Linked DNA regions of Sus scrofa. The protein of the gene in region 2 purifies or fractionates together with the protein of the main gene of each other region. This does not show direct contact. Links are inferred from orthologs where the notes say so. Each region holds a gene or a part of one and is shown on either strand. Other genes may lie near its edges.

Region 1 (3,819 bases), on a different chromosome or scaffold from region 2:
AGAGCCAAGCCGCATCTGCGACCTACGCCACAGCTCACAGCAACGACAGATCCTCAGCCCGCTGAGCAAGGCCAGGGACTGAACCTGCATCTTCATGGATGCCAGTTAGATTCATTTTGGCTTAGCTACAACGGGAACTCCCAGAATCTTTTTCTATGCTAGTAATTTTTAATCTAATGTTTGAAAAAGTTAGCAAAATTATCTTTGGAAATGATGTAATCTCCATATGTGTTTTGAGAATGACATTAGGTGACCTTATATATAAAATTATTAATTACTGACATTGCAATATATTAATATGTAAATTAAGAATTTAAAATTACTTAATAATGCACCAAAAAGTTCCCATACTTTTCATTTCTGTACCTCCTAAAGAAAACGTTTAATAAAAAAGGAAAGATGCAAAATGAATAAAAATTAAGACAAATGAATACTAAGTAGATACTTCTAAGTAGTATCTTTAGAATACATCAACTTTTCCCTTTTTAAGTGAATTTATTTGCAAATTAAAGATCCCCTTATTTGCAGTTTGAAGTAGCTGAATCTAAGGTCAGAGTATGGAAAATTGCTAGAAAATTTATTGGAACAAAATAAATGCTATATTTACCTTCACATAAAATCTGTGATGTGAAAAATGTCAAGGAAGGTAAATAAAACGATAGGAAAAAAATCTTTTCATTCCAAGTTGGTGTTCGAAGAATTTACATTACAAGAAAACCACCCTCATAAAATTATAAAAAACTAAAATTACTTTAATAAAATACATTAAAAACATCGACTACACAACTTGATTTCTTTTAAAGATAACCATCAATCTGCCAGCAGACAGAGACCACTTTAGGCTTTCATAACAAAAAACAAAATCAAAAGACTAATGAAAATTTTAAGTGGTTAGAACACAAATGGAAAAGGGTATATGTGAAGTACCATGTTAGAGTAAAAAATATTGAAGATGGAAGAATATGAGGAATATGAGAAAAGAAAGCTATTGTAACTATCATATATCTATTCTCCTTTATGCTATACATCGTTGATATGATTTGTTGACCACAATATAAGTTAATCTTATATTTATTTAGACTTCCCCAATGTGTCACAAAATAACCTTCTAAGTGGATCTTCTAAAATTTTCTACAGAATGTCAGAAGGGTAACAAATAAAAAAATTGAGTACATATTGTTCCTCACAAACTTTTCACTTTAATCTTTTCATGTAGGTCTTATGCAGTGTGCTTTATCTGGTTCTTAGTTTGGGGAGAAATATTTGAATGCATCCTGGTAACTAACGAAATAGTTTATTAAACAAATAACATTAAGAATACTGGCCTATGAAATTTAGACAACTTCGTAGTTAAACTAATAGGATGAACTAAATAAATATTATTTTCATTTAAATAGCAAAATACATTTGTCAAAGAGTAAGTTTCTTACAAGTTATTTGTAATAAAACTAAGAACTAATATAAATTGGTTTAACTTAATTCTATGCCTCAATAAAACCATTACAGGTAGTCAAGTAAAAAAGAAAACAGAAAATGGAACCATTTGGTTTGTGACACTAATTTAACAAACACAATCAAGACCTCCTTAGAACACAGTCTAGAATTAACATTTTCCTTCTGAGCTCCTGCTGCCTTTGGTGTTTATGGAAAGCATGGCCGGGAAGGTCCCCGGGAAGGATACGATCAGTGCCTTGGAATATCACACAACCTTTCACCAGCTCTCCCATGATGCAACCCACTGACCAGATATCAACTGAAAATAAAATGAAATGACAAAATTATGAAGTGCCATGAACAAAACAAAGGTGAGGAAAAGGAATTCTAACAGTATACTAAACACACAAATATGGAAAATAAATTGCTCATTAAGGGTGAACTTTTTACACAGTATGAAAGATTGCTGATCTCTATTTTGGCCTTCAGTTTGCAGCAATCTGGGCTTTTAGTGCCAAAGAGCCCAATACTTTACAGTTTCAAAAACAAAGCCCCAGAAATAAGAAGTGCTTATCCCCACGAAGATGTTTCTAGGCAAAGGCCCACCCCCACCCCCCAGCCCTTGTGGCCAGTGCCAGGTCTCTCCCTGTGAAGGATACAGTCTCTTCCTGGGAACAGGACTTTATGGAGGACCATTTCTGCCATGATGCACCCGACAGACCAGATGTCCACTACCAAACACCAGGTGATTAAAACCAGCCAGAGACCCCCACAAGCCTTTTCTCAAACCCTCCTCCCAAACAAAGACAAACCCAGCTTGTCAGCAAGACTTTTGTAAAATATGAATACTAAACCTCCAGAATGAACCTTTTCTAAACTGTCAAGTCAGCAGGGCCTCATGGGGACAGGCTTATCTGGGCTCCAGATGAGGCCAGGTCAGAGGTGACCTAACTTCTGGCCGTTCACCCTCTTTCGTGGGGTCCAGCTCAACCCCAGGCCTCAGATGCCAGGGCAGAGGGCTGTTTAGTGCCCCTGCTGGTGGGGGTCGGGTGGGAGAAGCTAACAGGGGATCTGATTTTCTCTCATGTCCACGGGGGAATGGAAGCCCACAGAGCTGTGTCTCTCAGAATGGGAACACAGGTTATAAAACATCTGAATAAACTTGAGGTGCAACTCATTTCATATGACTTGGGCAAGCTTTCAGACTCCTTTTTTCTTAACAAGGAAATGTGATTTAGTCAAAAGTCAAATTTAGACAAACTTGTCAAAAGCTAAGTTTCTAAGAGCTCTGATATTGTTAGAATAAGTTTTGTTGTTAAAAAAATACCAATTTTAGAAATATATTGGTACCATATATTTAGAAAATTTCATGGCATTACAGTAGTAAATCAACTAAAATATTAGTAGGATAATAACAACTACACCTCTCCTCAAAAAAAAAACTACCAATTCTATACATAAAAAGCACATTTTGTATTCTATTTATATCAAGTTTAAAAATAAGCAAAACCAATCTATGGTGCTGGAAATCAGGATAATGGCTTCCCTCAGGGGCTGAGACCCAAAGAGGGTCCGGAGAGTCTGGGGTGCCGCTGGTTATGTGGGTGTGCTCCGACCGAGCTGCCCACTAGGGATTTGCATACCTCCTTGTAAGTGTGTTATGCTTTGATAAATGTTCAAAAATATTAATCTCAAAAGTGAATTTTTAAAGTGAATAATTTTAACTGAAGGAAATATAAAATTAATTATTTCTCATCTGTGAACTACCATAAGCTATGTATAATACAGTCTCCATATTATATTCCATATAGTTCACAGGAAAGGGAAAAAAACTAGTGATGGCTAATAGCACTCTTTCTAAACATCTCAGCCTCTTTCAGTTCTGTCTGTACTCACCGTTCTCTTTATAGCCCATGCCCAGGATGACTTCTGGTGCCCGATAATACCGTGTCACCACATAGGGGGTCATCATAAAGTTGGTGCATGCTGTGCGGGCCAGGCCAAAGTCAAGAATCTTAAGGGTGCAATCTGATTTTACTACAATGTTGCTAGGTTTCAAATCCTAGGATAGAAATGGTTTAAATTAGAAAAATGAACCAAAGCATGCTAAGTAAACAATCTCACATTGGTAAGGATTTGTGAGGTCAGTGACTACTGAAGCATGTGAGAACGCCAGAAGGAGCAAAGTTAGAATCGAACCCTGGGATTTTTGGAACCATTTTGGAAAATTCTACCACACTGAATGTAAATGGATTAAGTGCTCCAACTAAAAGACACAGACTGGCTGAATGGATATAAAAATAAGACCCATATATATGCTGTTTACAAGGGACCCACTTCAAATCTTAGGACAATACAGACTTAAAACAAGGGGATGGAAGAAAA
Region 2 (3,819 bases):
GATGAGAAGCCCCTTCCCACACTGGTGAGCTTCCTCTGGAATGAAGGAGAGGAACAGGTGAAGGGGAGAAGAGAGATGGAGGGAGAGAGGTTAGCTTTTATCCAGACTGGACAATGCCACTTCTGCAGAGAGAACACGTTAAAATGGCTTTGGAAGGCAGAATAGGTCACTAGTTAACTGTGTGTGTTTATGTCACTACCTTCAGAACTGGCTGAAAGCAACAGTAGCATGAACAAGAAGCTACATTTCTGCGTCTAAAGAAAAAACTAGGTCAAGGAGTCATTTACAGTCGACTTCCTAGGTGATGGTGGCCAGCTGAGGACGGAGCCATGGCACAGTCAGCTTCAGGATGAAGCAAGCTCCTGCTTAGGAATCCCCTCTGATTAAGGATGTTGGTTCCCACAGCCATGCGGTGAGACTCATCAAAGCCAGTGTTATTAACAATGTCATTCCCACCCGTAAGAGAAAAAAGAAACATTTCTTTGTTTGTGCTATAGGATGGCTGATTATAGGAACTGAGATTAAATGGATGAGTTTGTCTGGTGAAACCCTAAAGGAGGTTAAAGGAACAAAACTCAACTGGAAAGTTACTATGTTCAGCTTCTCACCGGAAAGCCCTACTGTTGCAAAGTTAAAGGCGTATAGTCCTCAGGCATAAGGCGTCATCTCCATCTGAGCCATCCAACCCCCTCTGCATCCAGGCATGCTCTTCCAACACGGCAATGATGCAGAAGACGGAGGAGTTCCAATGATGGCTCAGAATCCAGAGCAATTGCATATGGCAACACTCTAAAGGTTTTCAGCTATTTTAAAATCCTAGGGGAACAGCTTGTGGGCACTGCCTGAATGGATTGTTGATGACATGTCTAAACTAGAAGGCAGCCTTGAAAAAAGTAGCCCTGAGATGAAGACTAGGGAAGCAGAAGGAATAGGAGAGCCAGGTTCTAACATAAACTCCTACTCCTGGCTACCCACCAGGAGACCAACGAAAGAGACATGGTGCAAATTTTCATCTTAAAAATCCAAAGATTTAGCTTCCTTCTAGATAACAGTATTTTAGGAAAGTATCTCTCGTTTTTGATTTCTTCTCTTCAGCACACAGTATTTAGCTGCCTTCATCCCAAGACTGGAAAGCCGGGTGGCAAAGAGCCCCCAAGTGCTGCCTTTGGCCGTGGTTCCACCTTGCGTAAGTCCTGTAACTGCTGAGAGCCTCAATCTTCCCTTCTGATTAATGGGACCAACACCAACTAAGCAGGCTCAGAACCAAAGAAATAGCACCACCCCATTCAAGGATAAAGAAACTGGCAGAGGTAAACCTTAAACCTAGACTCCGCTTAGTTTACAGTGGACTCTGTGAATATTATTGTGTTATAAAACAGGCTCTGTTTTCCTTCAAGCGAGTATAGTATTTCAGTTGATCTAATGATATAACAAAGAAAATAAAAACGGTGCCTATGCAGGGGGCGATGTTGAATTGCTTTTCAGGCTAAATGCTATTTATTTTCTGTTTTGTTTCTTTAAAGAAAAAAAAAAAAAAAAAAAAAAAAAAACAGGTGAGCCTGAATAATCTATAAGGAATGTGGGTGCTTTGACTGAAATCCTCTTAGAACAAGCATATCCTATGCTACTCACTACACGGAAAACCATTTCCTAACTTCCCCCAACTGGAATTAAGTCAGATAAAATTACAGGCACGACATCATATATCAACCAGGAAGTTCCTCTTCTGCTTGGTGACAAACTTTTCTTCCCCAAGGCTCAAGGTTTGATTCAGACACCAGCAGTAAAGAATTTCAAGCATCTTTGCAGCCACAAGCTCTGCCTGTTGGGAACTAATAAGAGCCTTATAAACACTGCCTCAATGCATTATAAAAAGGCTCCTGAGTTTGAAGTTGAGAGTGCCAGGCTCTGGTCCCTTCTGGGACACTAAGATTCCTACAACCTTGGAGAAGTCACCTTACTTTTCTGAGCTCAGTGACCACTCGGAAGTTCCTCCCAGGAGTTCCCACTGTGGCGCAATGGGATCAGCGGCACCTGGGGAACACTGGGTCTCAGGTTCGCTCCCTGGCCCGGCACAGTGGGTTGCCGCAACTGCGGCTCAGACCTGATCCCTGGCCCAGGAACTCCATATGCTGTGGGGTGCCACAGATGGAAAAAAAAAGAAAGAAAGAAAAGAAATTCCTCCCAGACTGACCATCCCACGGTCCTGTATTAAAGCCACAATTCACAGGGATACGCAGGCAAGGTGACCACAGCTGCCAAATCTCTGGCAAATCCAGCCTCCCTGCTGGCCGTTAAATCCAAGGTTTTTGTTGTTGTTTAGACAAAGAGACACCAAACACGCCTGCCTTCTTCCCGAGAGAGAGGCCAGTGACAACCTGCTGCAATATTTAGGAAAAGCACTGGGTCATCCCTTTGTGGGAAGAAAGGTTGGAGTTGCTTGAAAAAACAAACAATTGTTAACTACCCGCTGGGTGCCAGGTGCTCACCGAGTGATACTTTGAGCCTTGTGATAGTTTGCAGCTAGAGAAGCAGCAAACGTTAAAGTTTAAGGTTAGGGCCAGCCTGGCCATTCTTCCTTCTGGAGATTAAAGCCTGCTGATGCTAGAATTTTCTCTCCTTGGGAACTACACGATTTGGTCTTTCCCGCTTGGGCGAGTCTGGGGTAGACTACGGAAGTCTCATACCAGTTCATTAACAGGTGACCTCGTGCCCTTTTGCCACCCAACGATGATCTGAGACAAAGCAAACAGCAGGGAAAACCACCCCCAGCGGCCCTCCCCTCCTCTCTCTGCTCTGCCCTGAGGAGAGACAGGGTCCTGGTCACCACGGCCCAGGTGTCTGAAACAGGTCCTTCCTCAGAAACGCTGCCCGCGCCGCCACCTCCTGTAAAGAGGCGGTATCAGTGGCAAATGAGTTTACCTCACAGTAAGGGAGACGTGGGTGACTTTGGAAGGGGCATCGTACTCCAACAGCCCGCCCCGTATCCCCCCCCACCCCCCGCGATGAAATTTGCGGATGCTCGAGTCCCTCATGTGAACATGGCAAAGGACCCTCAGAACTCAGCATCGGCGAGTCGCACCTGCGATGGGCAGAAGCCGCGGATACCGAGGAGGGCCGACGCTTGTAGGGCCTGCACGGTGCCCGGAGTTCCCGTGCACCTGCCCTGACCGCCAGTTTCTTACTCTCTGCCAGTTCTTGGGCGCTGCGATTAAAGGACGGTCAGTGCTGTGACCCCTGCGGCTTTCTCACCGAGAGCCCCGGGAGGAGGAGGGTTTCTCGTTGAGCGGCCCTCCGCCCAGTGGGAACCGGTCTTTTTTGACCATCCCGTGGGCTCCAGGAGCCTCCAGGAGCTACGACTTAGGAGGCTACTTTGGCCGCACCAGGTGGCAGAGCCCCCAAACGCCTCGGGCAGCGTTGATGGCCACCCAGGCGTAAACCTCGGACCTGAGAGCAAAGCCAAGGCTGGAGGGAGAAAGGGAGGCGGAAGATGCGACCTCCCCGTGGGAGATAGTTACCAATGAACTCAAAGGCCTCTTCGAAGTACTGCCGCAGGTTCTGCTTGTTGCTGTCGGTGGCCGGCAGCCGCTTGTAGTTGAAGAGGCCTTTCTCGTAGTGGTAGAGGGGCAGGTGGGTGGTGACGTTGATGACGTAGCCGATGTTCAGCCGCTGCATCATGTCCAGGTCCTGAGCATCCTGCTCGTTGCCGAGGAACAGGAAGGGCAGGATGGGCGTCAGCTCGGCGTTCTCGATGTCGGGGGTGCTGGGCGCGGGCTGAGGTAGCGGGTTCGAGGCCGCGGACGCGCCGCCCCCCACCTC

Evidence for each region.
Region 1: the proteins of DUSP10 (region 2) and MAPK9 purify together in Homo sapiens (affinity purification with mass spectrometry; 3 studies listed by BioGRID and IntAct, with this or other methods). This does not show direct contact. The link is inferred for Sus scrofa from reciprocal best matches to the Homo sapiens genes DUSP10 and MAPK9.

The regions. Positions count from the first base shown.
Region 1 is NC_010444.4:78,379,825-78,383,643, reverse strand, and holds part of MAPK9 (mitogen-activated protein kinase 9), read right to left. Parts: intron 3,497-3,819; coding exon 3,331-3,496; intron 2,166-3,330; coding exon 2,094-2,165; intron 1,754-2,093; coding exon of another isoform or gene 1,682-1,753; intron 1-1,681. UniProt on the Homo sapiens protein: Serine/threonine-protein kinase involved in various processes such as cell proliferation, differentiation, migration, transformation and programmed cell death.
Region 2 is NC_010452.4:10,867,657-10,871,475, forward strand, and holds part of DUSP10 (dual specificity protein phosphatase 10), read right to left. Parts: coding exon 3,519-3,819; intron 36-3,518; coding exon 1-35. UniProt on the Homo sapiens protein: Protein phosphatase involved in the inactivation of MAP kinases. Has a specificity for the MAPK11/MAPK12/MAPK13/MAPK14 subfamily. It preferably dephosphorylates p38.